2 linked regions of the Kluyveromyces lactis genome follow. The protein of the gene in region 1 interacts with the protein of each later gene in a pairwise test. Links are inferred from orthologs where the notes say so. Each region holds a gene or a part of one and is shown in the gene's direction. Other genes may lie near its edges. The genes, in order: KLLA0_F03729g and THI4.

Evidence for each region.
Region 2: the proteins of KLLA0_F03729g (region 1) and THI4 interact in a two-hybrid assay, tested with the Schizosaccharomyces pombe proteins (2 studies listed by BioGRID). The link is inferred for Kluyveromyces lactis from reciprocal best matches to the Schizosaccharomyces pombe genes sec24 and thi2.

The regions. Positions count from the first base shown.
Region 1 is NC_006042.1:351,664-356,113, reverse strand, and holds KLLA0_F03729g (uncharacterized protein), read left to right. Parts: upstream 1-1,623; coding exon 1,624-4,398; downstream 4,399-4,450. Other genes in the region: KLLA0_F03751g (putative metalloendopeptidase), read right to left, coding at 1-675. UniProt on the Schizosaccharomyces pombe protein: Component of the coat protein complex II (COPII) which promotes the formation of transport vesicles from the endoplasmic reticulum (ER).
Region 2 is NC_006037.1:13,418-16,632, reverse strand, and holds THI4 (thiamine thiazole synthase), read left to right. Parts: upstream 1-1,421; coding exon 1,422-2,396; downstream 2,397-3,215. UniProt on the Schizosaccharomyces pombe protein: Involved in biosynthesis of the thiamine precursor thiazole. Catalyzes the conversion of NAD and glycine to adenosine diphosphate 5-(2-hydroxyethyl)-4-methylthiazole-2-carboxylic acid (ADT), an adenylated thiazole intermediate.

The DNA.
Region 1 (4,450 bases):
AGTGTTATAGTTGTCATTAAATGGTGCACCATATCTTTCTAATTCCTTCATAGCTATACCAAATAAGCCACCTGCATCTTTTGCATTAGGATTCTGTTGTGCGATATTAATATCTCTTAGCTCCACGGTAGTCTTCTCACTTTTTAGAATATGAATCTTAACGGTGTTTCTTAACTCGTCATCCTTTAGGAGGGTATCCTTCGTGAATTCTTCCACGAATCGGAAAGTTCTTTGACCGACGCCGTTACGAACCATTTGTTCATTAGTGAAAGCTTGCATGATCCGTGCACCAGTTCTCAATTTCTTTATGGCCAAATCGAGACCGTTACCACCCTCCTTACGAATCTGTACAGCTGGTGCATCATATTTCAGAGGAGAATCTTTAGCGAGTAGTAGACATAGATGAATTGGCGGGTTCTGTAACAATGGTACGTATTGAATAGTTAATTGCGCCGTAGAATTGTCATTTCCAGTGAACCATAGTAAGTTTTCACCAGGAGTCAAAGAAATAATGCACTTGAATCCGTGGTTGTTAACGGGAAACGTTAAGGGAGGGAGCTGCGAATGATGCACTTGGACAGAATTGGCATTTGTATTTATATTTCCGTGGACAATAAGTGCGGGTGTATGAACCTCTTCTCCGTTCTTGATGTTGTAAAATTGGATTTGGGACATCACTTGATTTAATTAAGGGTATTCTATGGTGTACCAGTGGGAAAAAGAAGCAGATTTGAGTGTCAGTCACAGGTATTAGCTGAATTACCAGTGTAGAACCTTATGATATCGAATACTAGGAACAATGGATGGATTGCTCGTATTTAAAATCGTTTTACCTTCGAGACATCTTGTTTAAAGATCTGATCCAAAATCTACGCACATTGTAAATAAAATAAGCAGACCTCGAACTTTCATATCACGTGATATAGCAAGGTTTATATCTCTAAATATCCATCAACAAATAAAGCACTGCATAACCACAGGTAGGTTCGTTAAAGCCCGTACAGTGTCTGGAGGGAGTATCAGTGACCCACAATCTGCCCGAAAGTTTTATCTTCTACAATGACCACGTCGACATTAATTACTTAACTATGTGATTCTGAGAGAACACGAACTATGATGTTACCCGAATATTATTATTAAAATCTGACAGCTGTCAATATACAAATACGAACTGCAGCATACAATACACATATGTCAATGATCAAAGAAATACAATATATGTAGCTAACATCGACTGAGCAATTGGCTAATAAAGCAGCAACCATATACATACGCTGGAAAAAGCCTCTCAAACCGCGTCAGTTTATTTAGCAGTTATCTTGAAAGGAAACCAAATAAAAAAAAAATTTCAAAAATCCAAAAACCCAAATTTCGATTCTTCGACAATAACAAAACGGGCCGAAAATTATAAAAACAATACACACATTTGATATTCAATTGCCATCGATTGAGGCATCTACTCTTTTGGATCTTCAACTTGGTAGAGTCAATAACTGTGTCAGGATCTAGGCGACTTATCAGAAGTTTATAAAGGAGAAGGCTCTTTGCATTGTATTTTTTGCAGATAAAAGAGAAAGAGTTACAGACAATCGAGTGATACAGGAGATCAAATTATACTGAACCATGTCACACCATAAGAAGCGTGTTTATCCTCAGGCTCAGTACCAAATTGCAGAAGGGATTGCACAGCCAATTGTTGGTGGAGGTGTTCCTCCGCAAACTGTAGGTGCTGGACAGCCGCAATTTCTGACTCCTGCTCAACAACATTTGCATCAACAGATCGACCAAGCAAGTAACGGCATTGGTAATATGCAATTACACAACGTTCCTGTGGTTGATCCTACTGCATTCCAGCAAGCTGGAACCCCGGTGCAACAACCACCATACGGTGGGGCTCCTCAATATGGCCAGCCAATGAACAGTGGCTACGGCGCCGATAACATATCCGGTGTTCAGCAGCAGTATCAGCAGCCAATGCAACAGCCGTATGGGCAAACGTACGGACAACAGCAGCAGCAACCACAATATCAACAACCAGGAGTAGGAATGGCTGTGGGTAAACCAATGAATCAATTGTACCCAGTTGATTTGTTCCAAGAATTGCCTCCTCCAATCACTGACTTGTCTTTGCCTCCACCACCGTTGATGCTCCCTCCAGAGAAGATGATTGTTCCTAACGATACAGTTAACAATTGTTCTGACCATTTAAGGTGCACTTTGAACGCCGTTCCAAAAAACAATTCTTTACTGAAAAAATCGAAACTACCATTAGCTATGGTTATCAGACCATACACTAAGTTAACCGACTCTGAATGTCCAGTGCCAACTAGCGAAGACGGTGTTGTGGTTCGTTGTAGACGTTGTCGTGCCTACTTGAACCCCTTCGTACAAGTAATCGAGAATGGTTTACGTTGGAGATGTAACTTCTGTAACTTGGCGAACAACTTCCCTCAAGCAATTGATATGAATGGTAACCGTTACGAGAGACCCGAATTCAACCATTCTGTTGTGGATTTCGTTGCTCCTAAAGAATACGCTGTCAGACCACCACCACCATCCACTTACGCTTTCATTTTGGACGTTTCTCAGGCATCAATCAAGAATGGCTTGTTGGCTACTGCTGCAAGAACTCTCTTGGAAAGCTTGGATACCATTCCAAACCATGATGAGAGAACAAGAATCTCTATTATTTGTGTTGATCAATCTCTACATTACTTCCGTATTCCTTTGGACGAAGAAGGTGACAACATTAAGATGTACGACGTCGCTGACTTGGATGAACCATTCTTACCTTCTCCCACTGGCCTATTGGTTCCACTAATTGAGGCTAGAAGCAACATTGAAAAATTATTGACTAGCTTACCAGAAATTTTCCAACAAAATATTCAACCAAGATTTGCCTTGGCCTCTGCTCTAAAGTCTGCTTTGAACTTGATCAGAGCTCAGGGTGGTAAGATTATTGTTGTTGGTGCCACTTTGGCCAACGTCGGTGAAGGTACATTACATAAGAGAAATGAAAAGGCTGTTGCAAATACTTCCAAGGAAGCTTCCACTTTATTGAACACTGGTGACGCATTCTACAAATCTTTCCCTATCGAATGTAACAAATATCAAGTTACGGTGGATATGTTTATGGCTTCCGACGATTATGTCGATATCGCATCTATCTCTAACCTAGGCCGTTTCACTGGTGGCCAAACCCATTTCTACCCTGGTTTCAGTGCCTTAAACTTGATCGATGTTACAAAGTTCTCAAAAGAATTTTCAAAACACGTATCCATGGATCTATCTTTGGAAGCTGTTATGAGAGCTCGTGGTTCGTCAGGCTTGAAAATGACCGGATTTTACGGTCATTTCTTCAATAGATCTTCAGACTTGTGCGCTTTGGCTACGGTTCCAAGGGACCAATCATACGTTTTTGAAATTGGTATCGATGAACAATTAACAAAGGACTTTGTGTACATTCAAATTGCTTTATTATTGACATCCAATGCTGCCCAAAGAAGAATTAGAGTCATAACTATTGGTATTCCAACTACTGATAAGCTAACTGAAGTCTATGCTTCTGCAGATCAGTTGGCCATCACAGCATACTTCGCTCAAAAGGCTGTGGAAAGAGCTCCTTCTTCTGGCTTTGAAGACACTAGAGAATTTTTCAACAAATCTGTCCAAGAGGTTTTGGCTACATACAAGAAAGAAGTTTTGACTTCAAACACAGGTGGCGGAGCTCCATTAATGCTCTGTAGTAACCTAAGAATGTGGCCTCTATTGATGCATTCTCTAACTAAACATATGGCTTTCCGTTCTGGTATTGTTCCGGCTGATCACAGAGCTCAAGCATTAAATAATCTTGAAACGTTACCATTGCCATATTTGATTCAAAACATTTATCCAACAGTATACTCCTTACATGACATGCCTGACGAAGCTGGTCTTCCCGATGAAGAAACTGGTGAAATTGTACTACCGCAACCAATTAACTCCACCTCGTCTTTATTGGAAAGATACGGTCTGTATTTAATCGACACAGGATTGGACATGTTCTTATGGATTGGCGGTGATGCTGTCCCAGAGCTTGTTACAGACGTGTTTGGAACCCCGGACATTATGGAAATTCCAATTGGTAAAAATGAACTACCTCTATTAGACGCTACTGAGTTCAACCTAAGAGTGAGGAATGTTATTACAAAGATAAGAGAACACGATGATGTTATCTTCTACAAAACCTTGCACATTGTCAGAGGCGCCTCACCAAGTGAACCAATGAACCATCCTTCTGCCAGGGAAGTTGCTTCTCTAAGATTATGGACTGCATCTCAGTTGGTCGAAGATAAGGTCCAAAACAGCTGGAACTACAGAGAATTCTTACAAAACATGAAGACAAGAATCTCGAAGTAAGTTTAAAAGGTGCTTCCAAGTTGCGTACATACCATTTTTTATGTAGATATTG
Region 2 (3,215 bases), on another chromosome or scaffold:
GGTATGCGCTGAGGTCAAAAAAACAATGCAATACAATGAACGACATCGTAAAAAAGACCCCTTTGGTAAGTATTCTAAGGAAGAGAACCAACCGCCCAAAGCCGGTGACACTTCACAATCTCTCAAATATTAGAATTTCAAGTCACAGGCTTATGCATTTTAACTGGCAAAGTATTGTCTTCACTTAAATAACCAAAACGTGATTTATTTCTAGTTGGATGTCGAAACAGCCAACCCAAAATGTCTCAAACCGTTGGACACTCTATTGTGAATCAATGCGTGCCTTTCCCACCTAGAGTACCAAAAAATAAAAGTAATTCTTGATTCATAGAAGTTGGCATGTCAGTGCCAATTCTAAGGATAGGATAACCGAATTTGATCTGGTGGATAGTTCCAATCGCCTTTCACGTATCTATGTACTGAAAATGAAGGAAGAAAGGCTACCACATCTTAACACGAAATAAATTCAAACAACTCTTTCAATGGACCGGAAATGTAGATTTCAATTCAGAAATCTTGTACTACTGCGTCATCTATCTTGGGCTACCTGTATCTCTTTCCAACCAAGTTTACTTTTTGCACCCTAAACTGACGTTTTTTCGCCAACGATGAGCTAAAAACCTTCGTTTTCGGTTCATACCTCAAATTGCAAATAATGGCAGCCAATGAGGTCTTCTATCGACAAACGCCAGACCATACACACAGGTATATGTTAATTTACGATGCTCTCGTCAGCAATTATGTCCCTTAAGGAAATTGTGTGGGATGCAGGTAATGTTGGAAAAGAACAAAAAAAAAACTGTCGCCTGTTCTAAGAGTTACTCTGGAAAACAGTATTTTTTTTATATGCAGCGATAGAAAGGGTAGAAATTCAACTAAAGGCCAAGAGTTAATACTCACAAAAAGGACAAAATCTACTGAGCGATCAACTGATGTGTTAAAGAGAACGTTTGGGGGCATTTTTCTTTTGGAAACGAACGATTATCTTTCCCGTTTACTCTCGATTTGGTAATCAGCCAATTTTCATGGAACCTTGGCGGATATCTCTATCACTGTTAACAAGATATTCCTAACTGACGCTTATTCGTATAATAACGGAGTAAGGGTACAGACATTAAGGAAATTAGTTTTAACAGTAAAAAAAAAAAAGGCAAAGTAATATGGTATGGAATGCTAACAGGTTCATGTCCAACCAACGTTGTGGGTGACGATAAGCCTCGTGAAACCACGGTCTTTGTTCGAAGTTTAAGAGGCAGTGAGCATTCTAGTTAGAGAACTAAAATTATAAAAAGGCCCACTCTTTCAACCTTTTCCCTTTTAACCTTCTGGTATTATATTTGTGTTATATCAATGATTCTCGCTGTAGAACAGTAGCAGCTAAATTCAAAGGATACTTTACAAGTAGCAACAACAGAACAAAAATGTCTACCACCCAAACTCAAACTCAAAACAAACTATCAGTCCAATCTCAAAGTGTCGAACACTGTTTGTCTGATGTTGTCAAACAAGACGACTGGTCAGACTTTGCATTTGCTCCAATTAGGGAAGCAACTGTTTCTCGTGCAATGACCTCTCGTTATTTCAAAGATTTGGACAAGTTCGCCGTATCCGATGTTGTTATCATTGGTGCAGGTTCAAGTGGTCTATCTGCTGCATACGTCATTGCTAAGAACAGACCTGACTTGAAAATTGCCATTATTGAAGCCAACGTTGCTCCAGGTGGTGGATGTTGGTTAGGAGGTCAATTGTTCTCTGCCATGATCATGCGTAAACCAGCAGACAAATTCTTGGACGAATTGAACATTCCATATGAAGATGAGGGTCATTACGTTGTTGTTAAACACGCTGCTTTGTTCATGTCTACTGTATTGAGTGAAGTATTGAAGTTCCCTAACGTGAAGATGTTCAATGCTACTGCAGTTGAAGATCTTGTCACCAGACCAGCCGATGATAATTCTCAGCACGTCAACGTCGCTGGTGTTGTTACTAACTGGACTCTAGTCACTCAAAATCACGACACCCAATCTTGTATGGATCCAAACGTCATCGAATTGTCTGGTTACAAGGATAATGGCGAAAGGGATTTATCACAGAAGCATGGTGTTATCTTGTCTTGTTGTGGTCACGATGGTCCATTTGGTGCTTTCACTGTTAAACGTATGGCTTCCATCGATTCCTCTAAGTCCTACGCTGGTATGAAGGGTTTGGACATGAACAGAGCTGAAGACGCTGTTGTTAAGAACGCTGGTGCATACGATAAGGTTGGTTCAGTTTACTTTGCTGGTATGGAAGTTGCTGAACATGCTGGTTTGAATAGAATGGGTCCAACTTTCGGTGCTATGGCTGTTAGTGGTATCAAGGCTGCTGAAGATATCTTGAAGCACTTTGCTGCTTGATTGAATCAAGGGGATTTTTACCTCAATTTTTTACTTAGTGTCTAGTTTTATATAGCTTTTTATCGACACACTTTATGACTGCTAATGGCCTCTGAACATTTCTTCCATGAAATCACAAGGAAATGTTTAATAAATACTTCAGCATACCAATTGGGGAGCTATCAATTTTGCTGTTTCGAAGGGAATTTTTCAGACTTCTAAAGATTTTGTCGCATAATAATCAGCCAGCTACAAGTTTAATGTACCGAGTCACTCCATGGTACCTTCTATGAACAAAAACACAAAAAGCAGACGTTACTATACCGATCAGTTATTAAAAATATATCTTATACAAAGAGGAACGAATGCATAAAACCTTACTAAATAAAGTGCTTTTCATGTCAGTACTTTCCCTCAACAAGCATTTTAGTTCCGGCAGAAATATTTTGTTGAAAACTTCTACTGCATAGTAGACCGTATTGTTAATTAGTGATGAAACGAAAAAGTATCTGAGTGTTGTCATAAAACGAGAGCGCTAATAAGAAGAAAATCTTATGAAAATTGAACATGAATAACAATGTCTGGTTACTTAATTTTTAAAACGTTTGTTGTTAATGGTGGTGTAAGGGAACTTCCAAGGCCATTCATGGAATCATTGCTTACCGTTAAGCTGAACCTGTGCCGAACTTGGATCAAGATCGCAGCGTTCGGCGATTGAGAAGCTAATTCAAAATTATATAAGTAGAAGGTTTCCTCAACCAATTTCCCCATTGGATCTGACATCATATTTAGTGTTGTTCTACATTAATGTGTCCGCCTGACAGAAGAAACTAAGGAGAA